Linked DNA regions of Oryctolagus cuniculus. The main gene of each other region encodes a partner of the protein of the gene in region 2 in a complex. Links are inferred from orthologs where the notes say so. Each region holds a gene or a part of one and is shown on either strand. Other genes may lie near its edges.

Region 1 (3,646 bases), on a different chromosome or scaffold from region 2:
CTTTGCCTGTGGCCTGGGAAAAGAGTGGAAGATGGCCCAAGTGCCTGGGCCCCTGCATCCACGTGGGAGACCCTGAGGAAGCTCCTGGCTCCTGGCTTCAGATGGGCCCTGCTCACTGTGGCCATTTAGGGAGTGAACCAGCGGATGGAAGACCTTTATCTCTATCTAATCCTCTCTGTGTGTAACTCTGCCTAGAAAATAAATTTAAAAAAAAAAAAAAAAAGAACATTCTAGATTGAGAACAATATAGCAATAAAAACACAAATATGGTGAAGTGAAAATAACTATATGGGAAAATAATAAAGAGCCATGATTAGCCTGAGTGAAAAAGAATAGAATCCGATCATACAGTTCTGTACACCACGGTAAAGACTTAATTCCATAATCTCGAAAGTGACTGGTGTACAGGAGATTAAGTGAGGAAGGTATGAAAGTGGCAGCAAGCAATGGGAACTAGGGTAACACAGGGCACACATGCCTCTTTATAGAAGGCCTTTAATCTCACCACAGTACTCACTTGTCTCTTCAGCCACTTAATGTCAGGCAAAAAAGTACAGCATAAATGACCAGATCTGCCTATGTTTTCCAGAAATGCCACAAATTTTCAAATATCTCTTGATTTTTAAATGGTGGCAAATTTTTTTTAATTTTCAAAAACACTCAAGTCGAATCTATTATTTTTCAAACACAGGACCCTATGGGCGATCTACCTTGCTTCAAGCCTTTGAGCAACATAACACAAAGTCTAAGATATACCAGAGCTTATAGCCCTCTCAGAGCCACTGGCTACCTTATTTTATAATATCAACATGATCTTCCCTCAAGTTTAATTTACCACTGCTTTAGTAAAACATACTAATTCCTCCTTTTCAAAATCAAACAGTAGATATTTCATAAGCGCAGACAAAAAGGCGAGCGAGATACAGCAGCACCCTTACCATGGCAATATAACTGTAACTGAGCACAATTTCTCGGATCTTCCGCATCTCTTCCTCCAGATTGCTGGCCCAGACTTCACAGATAACCTGGCTGTTCTCCACAAGTGCTGCCGGCATCCTGAAGAAACCTGAGAAGTCACTTTCAGCTAACTTCGTCAGAAGGCAAGCCAGACAAGGTTTGAGCTGACCTGGATTCAAAAACATTGGGAAACCATGTAAGTTTACAATCTGGTATAAGGTGACAACACATGAAAACAATACTTGAACATCACTTCGTAAGTTTACACTAGAACACTAGGAGCATTATGTTTATCATGGGAAAATCTGCCTTTTTCAAGAAATACATATGTACACATGTACACACATGCATGCATGCATATACACACACAGAATTCTTTAACCTGAAAGAAATGAAATTTGCCAAGGAAATATCTGCCCAAGCTGCCCTTCAGCAAAGAAGTGAAACCATTACCCTGAAGGACTCCTCAGTCCACTGCAGACTCCCTAAAACACATCTGACCACAAACGTGCCCTTATCCTCGACTTTCACATCACTCTGGCAGGAGACCACATCATGGAAACATCTCTAAAGGAATCACGTTAGCCATTTTAAATCCACCTGGGATCTCGGAAAGCCTGAAGCCATGTGGATCTAAACACTCACACTCCAGTCTCACCTGACTAATGCATGAACAAGGGCATAGGTCTCCTTCCTCCACTCCCCAAAAAGGGAAAATTGTTTTTCCCTGCAATCCACAAGCCTCACAGAAATGGAAGCAATTAACTACTTAGTATAGTGCCTCTTCGGATTTGTGCAAGTAGATTATGAAGTAAGGGGTTTACATCATAGAAACTACTTGCTAATTTGAAAATAAACAACCTTAACAACCACAATAAAAATCAAAATTTGATGACTAATGTCTACATTTAAACATGTAATATTGTAAGAAACTAAGCAGCAATTCAACAATGAGAGAAAACATGGCAGGTATAACTCCTTCAACCAGAAGCAGAATGATTTAGTGTATTTTTGGGGAGGAAATTGGGGAAGGGAAAGTATTTTGCAAAATAAAATGCACATCTTTTAGTCTCAAAATAATGCTATTGTTATAATCAGGTCAACAAGAGAAGAGAGTTATAAAAAGGCCAAAAAGAGAAACTTATCATAAGGCCACTTACATATAAGGCAACTCCACTGTATGGATCTTCCATACACTGTAACAGGGGAGGGATATGTGTGTGTGTGTGTGTGTGTGTGTGTACACTGGGAAAATTCTTAGAATCAGTAAAATGAATTGAGTGGTTTCCAAAGGACAATGCATGGAAAATCTCTGCTTCCTATTTTTTAAGACTGGCAGATGCAATAATAAGAATCTAGAAGAGGGGCCACTCTGGCATAGCAGAAAAAGCCACTGCCTGCAGTGCAGGCATCCCATAGGGCCAGTTCAAGTCCTGGCTGCTCCACTTCTGATCCAGCTGCTATGGCCTGGGAAAGCAGTAGAAGATGGCCCAGTTGATGCCGTGGCTCACTTGGCTAATCCTCCGTCTGCGGCGCCAGCACCCCAGGTTCTAGTCCCGGTTGGGGCGCTGGGTTCTGTCCCAGTTGCTCCTCTTCCAGTCCAGCTCTCTGCTGTGGCCCGGGAAGGCAGTGGAGGATGGCCCAAGTGTTTGGGCCCTGCACCCGCATGGGAGACCAGGAGGAAGCACCTGGTTACTGGCTTCAGATCAGTGCAGCGTGCCAGCTGTAGCAGGCATTTCGGGGGTGAACCAACGGAAAAAGGAAGACCTTTCTCTCTGTCTCTAACTCTGCCTGTCCAAAAAAAGAAAAAATTAAAAAAAAAAAAAAGAAGAAGAAGATGGCCGAAGTCCTTTGGGCCTCTGCACCCATGTGGGAGACCCGGAAGAAGCTCCTGGCTCCTGGCTTCGGATCGGCCCAGCTCCAGCTATGCAGGCCATTTGGGCAGTGAACCAGCAAAAAGACGACTTTCTCTCAGTGTGACTCTGCCTCTCTGTAACTCTGCCTTTCAAATAAATAAAATAAATCTTAAAAAAAAATCTAGAAGAAAGCAAAAGTGACATTTTCAGGTGTCACATTTCTGAAAACCTTCTGAGAAACGAACCTGATACTGTGTTGGCAATCCCTGAGAATTCATTTATTCAACGTATCCTATGTTTCCACAGACATTTCCCTGAAATTAGTTATTCAACCTATGTAGACCAGGTAATAAGTATGGGTGGAAACTGCTTTAAGACAGAATCCTTTCCATTTCTAGTGGTCGTTCTATTACGTGCCTTTTCTTTTTTTTTTTTTTTTTTTTTTTTTTTTATTTTTGACAGGCAGAGTGGACAGTGAGAGAGAGAGACAGAGAGAGAAAGGTCTTCCTTTGCCGTTGGTTCACCCTCCAATGGCCGCCGCTGCAGCCGGCGCACCGTGCTGATCCGATGGCAGGAGCCAGGATCCAGGTGCTTTTCCTGGTCTCCCATGGGGTGCAGGGCCCAAGCACCTGAGCCATCCTCCACTGCACTCCCTGGCCATAGCAGAGAGCTGGCCTGGAAGAGGGGCAACCGGGACAGAATCCGGCGCCCCGACCGGGACTAGAACCCGGTGTGCCGGCGCCGCAAGGTGGAGGATTAGCCTATTGAGCCACGGCGCCAGCCTATTACGTGCTTTTTCAAATGAACAAATCAAGAGCAGGAAAATCAAAGTT
Region 2 (4,264 bases):
ATATTTATAACATCAGTCATGGGTTACAGAAATTATTGATTTAAGAACTAGCCTGCTGTGGATTTACTGAATTTCAAGTCCCACTGGCAGTTGCTTTGGCCTTGTACAGGCTGGAGGCCAAACATTGCTCACCCCTGCTTTAGAGTGTACAGTGCTCTGTTTACCCAAGAGGAGGATTCTGGGAGTCCACCACAACTTTAAGGAGATATGACTAATGATGCTGTTGGCTAGGTAGAAAGTGAGAGAAAGACAAGAGTTTAAGGATGCTAGAATTGATGGTAAGATTTACTGTAAAACATTTTAAATTTTTAAAAAGATTATTTATGTATTTACTTTTATTTCAAAGGCAGAGTGACAGAGCAAGAGAGGGAGAGAGAAAGGGAGAGGGAGAGAGAAAGTGCCCTTCTATCTGCTGGTTTACTACCCAAATGGCTGCAACCAAGGGGAGGGGTATGGGTGTAACAGGAGCTGGTTCTAGCCCAGACTAGAAGCCCAGGATTCCATTAAGGACAGGGGCCCAAGTACATGGGCCATCTTCAGCTGCTGTCCCAGGTGCATTGCAATATCAAGGAGCTGGATTGGAAGCAGAGCAGCTCAAACAAGCAGTCGGGACTCATAGGGGATGTCAACATCACAGGTGGCAGTTTACTGCTGGGTCACAACACTGGCCCCTGGACATTTTTGAAAAGTGCATATAAAATACATCTCCTAACGGCTGACCTTTGGCTGTTTCAGTAGTCTAACATTCATTACAAAGACTATGGCAATGTGAAGAACTGTAGTTCTGTTCATCTGAAGCTACCTCCATGGTCCTTTACTGAAGCAGAAATTAAAGAGTGCCAAGGCTGAAGTTTGGGACCAAGTTATTAAATCAGTGAGTCAATCACTAAGGACTTTGTTATTTTATTTTGTAACATTATCTATTTATTTATTTGAAAGCGCATCAAATGGCTACAGCGTTTCAGGAGGCTCAGGGGCGAGTGCCTTGGTAGCAAAGGTAAGATTGCTGGAGAAGGCTCGATCAGGTTTTGAGAGCTGGGCGAGCCAAGCTTAGAATTTCCTTTGTTCTTCCTGCCTCGCCTCTACCAGCAGCATCCTCATTTTGCTTCTTCTTGAATTAACACATACAACTTGGAAAAAGGAACAAAAAAGCTAGGGAAGCTGCCATCACCGGAGAGATATTAAAGCTGTCTCTGCACGGTTACACTGAGAGGCACAGTGACCGAAGACTGATACCACTGGCCCTGGCAATGACAGGCTGAGATCAAACCTCACGAGGCAATGCCTTTCCATAGCTCAGTCATGTGCAGCTTCAATTTTCACTTTCTATATTTAGAGTTAAGGCAATTTTTGGTGTTTTCCAGATCTTGGCAATTTCAGTACCTTACTCTCCTTAAATTGCATCCCGTTAGTGAAACGGAGAAAGTGGACTTGGCCTTCAGAGCAGTGTATTCAAATCAAATGATACTCTTTTTTCCCACTGTGGCTAGGCATTCTCAGTGGTCAAACCCACTCAGCTGTATCTTCCAATCAGCAATGTGTTTGAGTCCTGGCCCCGGGGAAATCATGTACACAAGACCACATGTCCCTACCCCTCAGGAGGGAGACCGCCAACATTCGAGAGGCACACACCGACTACACTCTGGGATCGGTGCCGTGAAGGCTGCTCCAGCAAGAGAAGAGTTAAGAGCTACAAACCGCTTTGAATGGGGAGGAGGTGGTGTGAGGGGGGCAGATTCAGGTGCAGACCCGAGGGAAGAGGAATCAGTTGCACTCACATCCAGTGTGTGTGCGCGCGCGCGTGTGTGTGTGTGTAAGGAGGGAGAGGTACGAAGGAAGGGCATTTCAGGCAGACCATAAAGTGCATCCTGGCGCGGCAGAGAGCGGGTGGAAGGGTTAGGGAACCTGCCAGCACAGCTGGCGCTGAAGCAGCAAGCGACACAAACTAAGGCTGTAAACGTGGGTAAGGACCAAGGACCACATCCCACAAGGCCTTGAAGGCCGTGGCAAGGAGCCTGGACCTGATCTCCATGCAACGGGAAGCCCTGGGCTCATCTCAGACCGGAGAACTGCGCGACCCGCTTGTCTCGTTAAAACATCATGCTTGTAAAACGAGATGCGCGAAAAGAGGTTTTAAACGTTAAGTCGGACGCAGTAACGAAGCCCTTCTCTAGGCCCCGGCTTTTCCCTACGTAAAGCAAGCGGCGTGCGCCAGAAATCATCTCCTTCCCGCTGCCATGTGCCCAGGCGGCGAGTCCCGAGGGCGCGGGCCGGAGCCGAGAGCCCCAGGCGGTCCCCGCATTGCCGCCGGAGCCCTGAAACCGCCGCTGGGCGCACTCATCAATGAATGGCCGGCCCCGGCCGCGAGGGAGGCGCTCGGCGCGCGGGAGCAGGCCCCGATGCCGACACGGAACGCGAGGAGCCGCGCGGGAGGCCGAGAGAGGCGTCCGGCGAGGACAGCGGAGGCCGGCTCCGCCACAAGCCAGGGCCTCGCGGGCTGCGGGCGGAAAGAGCCGGGCTCCGAGGCGGACCCGGTGTGCTAGGAGGGGAGGCCGAGCGCGGGGCTCCGAGAAGGGTTCCGGCTCCAGGCCGGGCGGCTCCAGGCACTCACCGCAGCCGTCGCCAGGCTGTGCATGTTGGGAGCGGCCGCCGCTCTCCTTCCTCCGCCAGACGCGCCTGACCCCCCGTCTCGGTTTCAACGCCTCTGCCGCTGAAGATGAGCCGCCATCCGCCTCCGGCTCGCTCCGCCCCCTCCGCAGCCCCTTGACCTCTTACCTCTGACCCCGCCCACACAACCTCTTCCCGCCTCCCGGCCCTCGGCCGAGTTAACAGTCCCAGAGTCTGTCCTTTGCCCCTTAAATTTCAGGACTAGAAGGTCGTCCGCGACCCACTAGTCCCCGCACCCCTCGGCATCGGGCAGGTATCTTCAGAGAGGGGAGTGAACTCTGACCCTCCTCCGGAGGCCAGTGAAGGGCGGGAAAAGCCGGGCGTCCCTCCAGAACAAGTATTGCGCATGCCCGACTGGGCTGAGAAGAAGGGAATGGTGGGAGAACGGAATGAAGCGAAGTGAAGGTGCGCGTGCGTAGTACGGTCACGGCAGGGGCGGGGCCATTGGCCTAGGCCGCGTTTGGTGCTGGGGCGGGGCGAAGGCGCGCAGGGGGCGGAGTTTGCGGGCTACCGCGCACGCGCCTGCCTCTGGTCGCGTCGAGTGTGCGTACGTGCGTGCGTGCGTGCGTGTTTGCGTGTGGTCATAGTTCCCGCCATCAGCCGCTCTCCCTGACCAGGGGGAGCGAGCGGCCTCGCTCTTTCGGGCCCGAGGTCCCTTCCGTCTTCCCTCCCGGCTCCCCCGCGCCGCGTGGACTCCGTACTCTTGGCAGGCCTGTCGGGGGCTCCGGACTCTCAGACACAGGTAGGACGCCGGAGTGGCTTCTCCGTGGAGTCGGTTTTTTGGAGCTCCCTTCCCCGTGCGGTCCGCCCACCCGGCGTTCACTCTTGCGGAGTTGGCCCGGCTGACGCTTGGGCCGCCGGAACCCCTGCAAGTCCCCCCGGCAGCACGGGCACTCCGCTTGGCTGTTCCCTGCCGGCTTCCCCTCTCCTTTGACCTGCAGCGCTGTCACTCGCTCCCTCCGCACCCCGAACCTGACCCCCTTTTTCTCTGGGACTGTCATCCTTCGCTGCTTGCCCCCCAAGGAGGCCAGCCGGCTCTTCTGGTGACTTCTTTGCGCTTGTCCGTCAAGCCGTGGGCATGACACTCGCTCTGATGACCATTCCTTACCCGCCTCCGCCTAACCCTTCATTAAAAGGCGTAAATCGCGTTTTTGGCGTGTATTTGGCTGCTTCCCCTCTGTGGCCATCCGATCAGCTTGTCGTTCATGAGAGGAAGCTGTAACTGGTGAGAGTGCTGTGTCCTGGATGGTTACCCTAGCGTGATTTCGCGATAATCCTTCCAACATTTCAGCCCCGGGTAAACGATTTTTACGGGGGTGGGGGGCGACTGGGAGGCGGTGGCCGTGCCCTAGGAGCCTGACCTGAAGAGACACCTAGGAGAGGATGACAAGGATGCAGCCGGGGGTGCTGAGCTGGAGGTCCGACGAGAGGGGTTCTGCACACACAGACTGTGTGTGTGTGTCATCTGCCGTGCTGACAGTAGTTGGAGCTCTGTGTGTGGATGAAGTTGCCTGAAGAGTTTAGTGCTAGGAAAAGTGACCTAGGATGCAGCTCTGAGGCATTCTGGATGTTTAATAACTGGAAAAGAGGAGGGTGA

What was found.
Region 1: CNOT9 (region 2) and CNOT8 share a complex: the UniProt entries of both Homo sapiens proteins name them as parts of the CCR4-NOT complex. The link is inferred for Oryctolagus cuniculus from reciprocal best matches to the Homo sapiens genes CNOT9 and CNOT8.

Annotation. Positions count from the first base shown.
Region 1 is NC_091437.1:41,749,510-41,753,155, reverse strand, and holds part of CNOT8 (CCR4-NOT transcription complex subunit 8), read right to left. Parts: intron 1,127-3,646; 5' UTR 1,056-1,126; coding exon 939-1,055; intron 1-938. UniProt on the Homo sapiens protein: Has 3'-5' poly(A) exoribonuclease activity for synthetic poly(A) RNA substrate. Its function seems to be partially redundant with that of CNOT7.
Region 2 is NC_091434.1:20,855,399-20,859,662, forward strand, and holds the start of CNOT9 (CCR4-NOT transcription complex subunit 9), read right to left. Parts: upstream 2,819-4,264; 5' UTR 2,636-2,818; coding exon 2,612-2,635; intron 1-2,611. UniProt on the Homo sapiens protein: Component of the CCR4-NOT complex which is one of the major cellular mRNA deadenylases and is linked to various cellular processes including bulk mRNA degradation, miRNA-mediated repression, translational repression during translational initiation and general transcription regulation.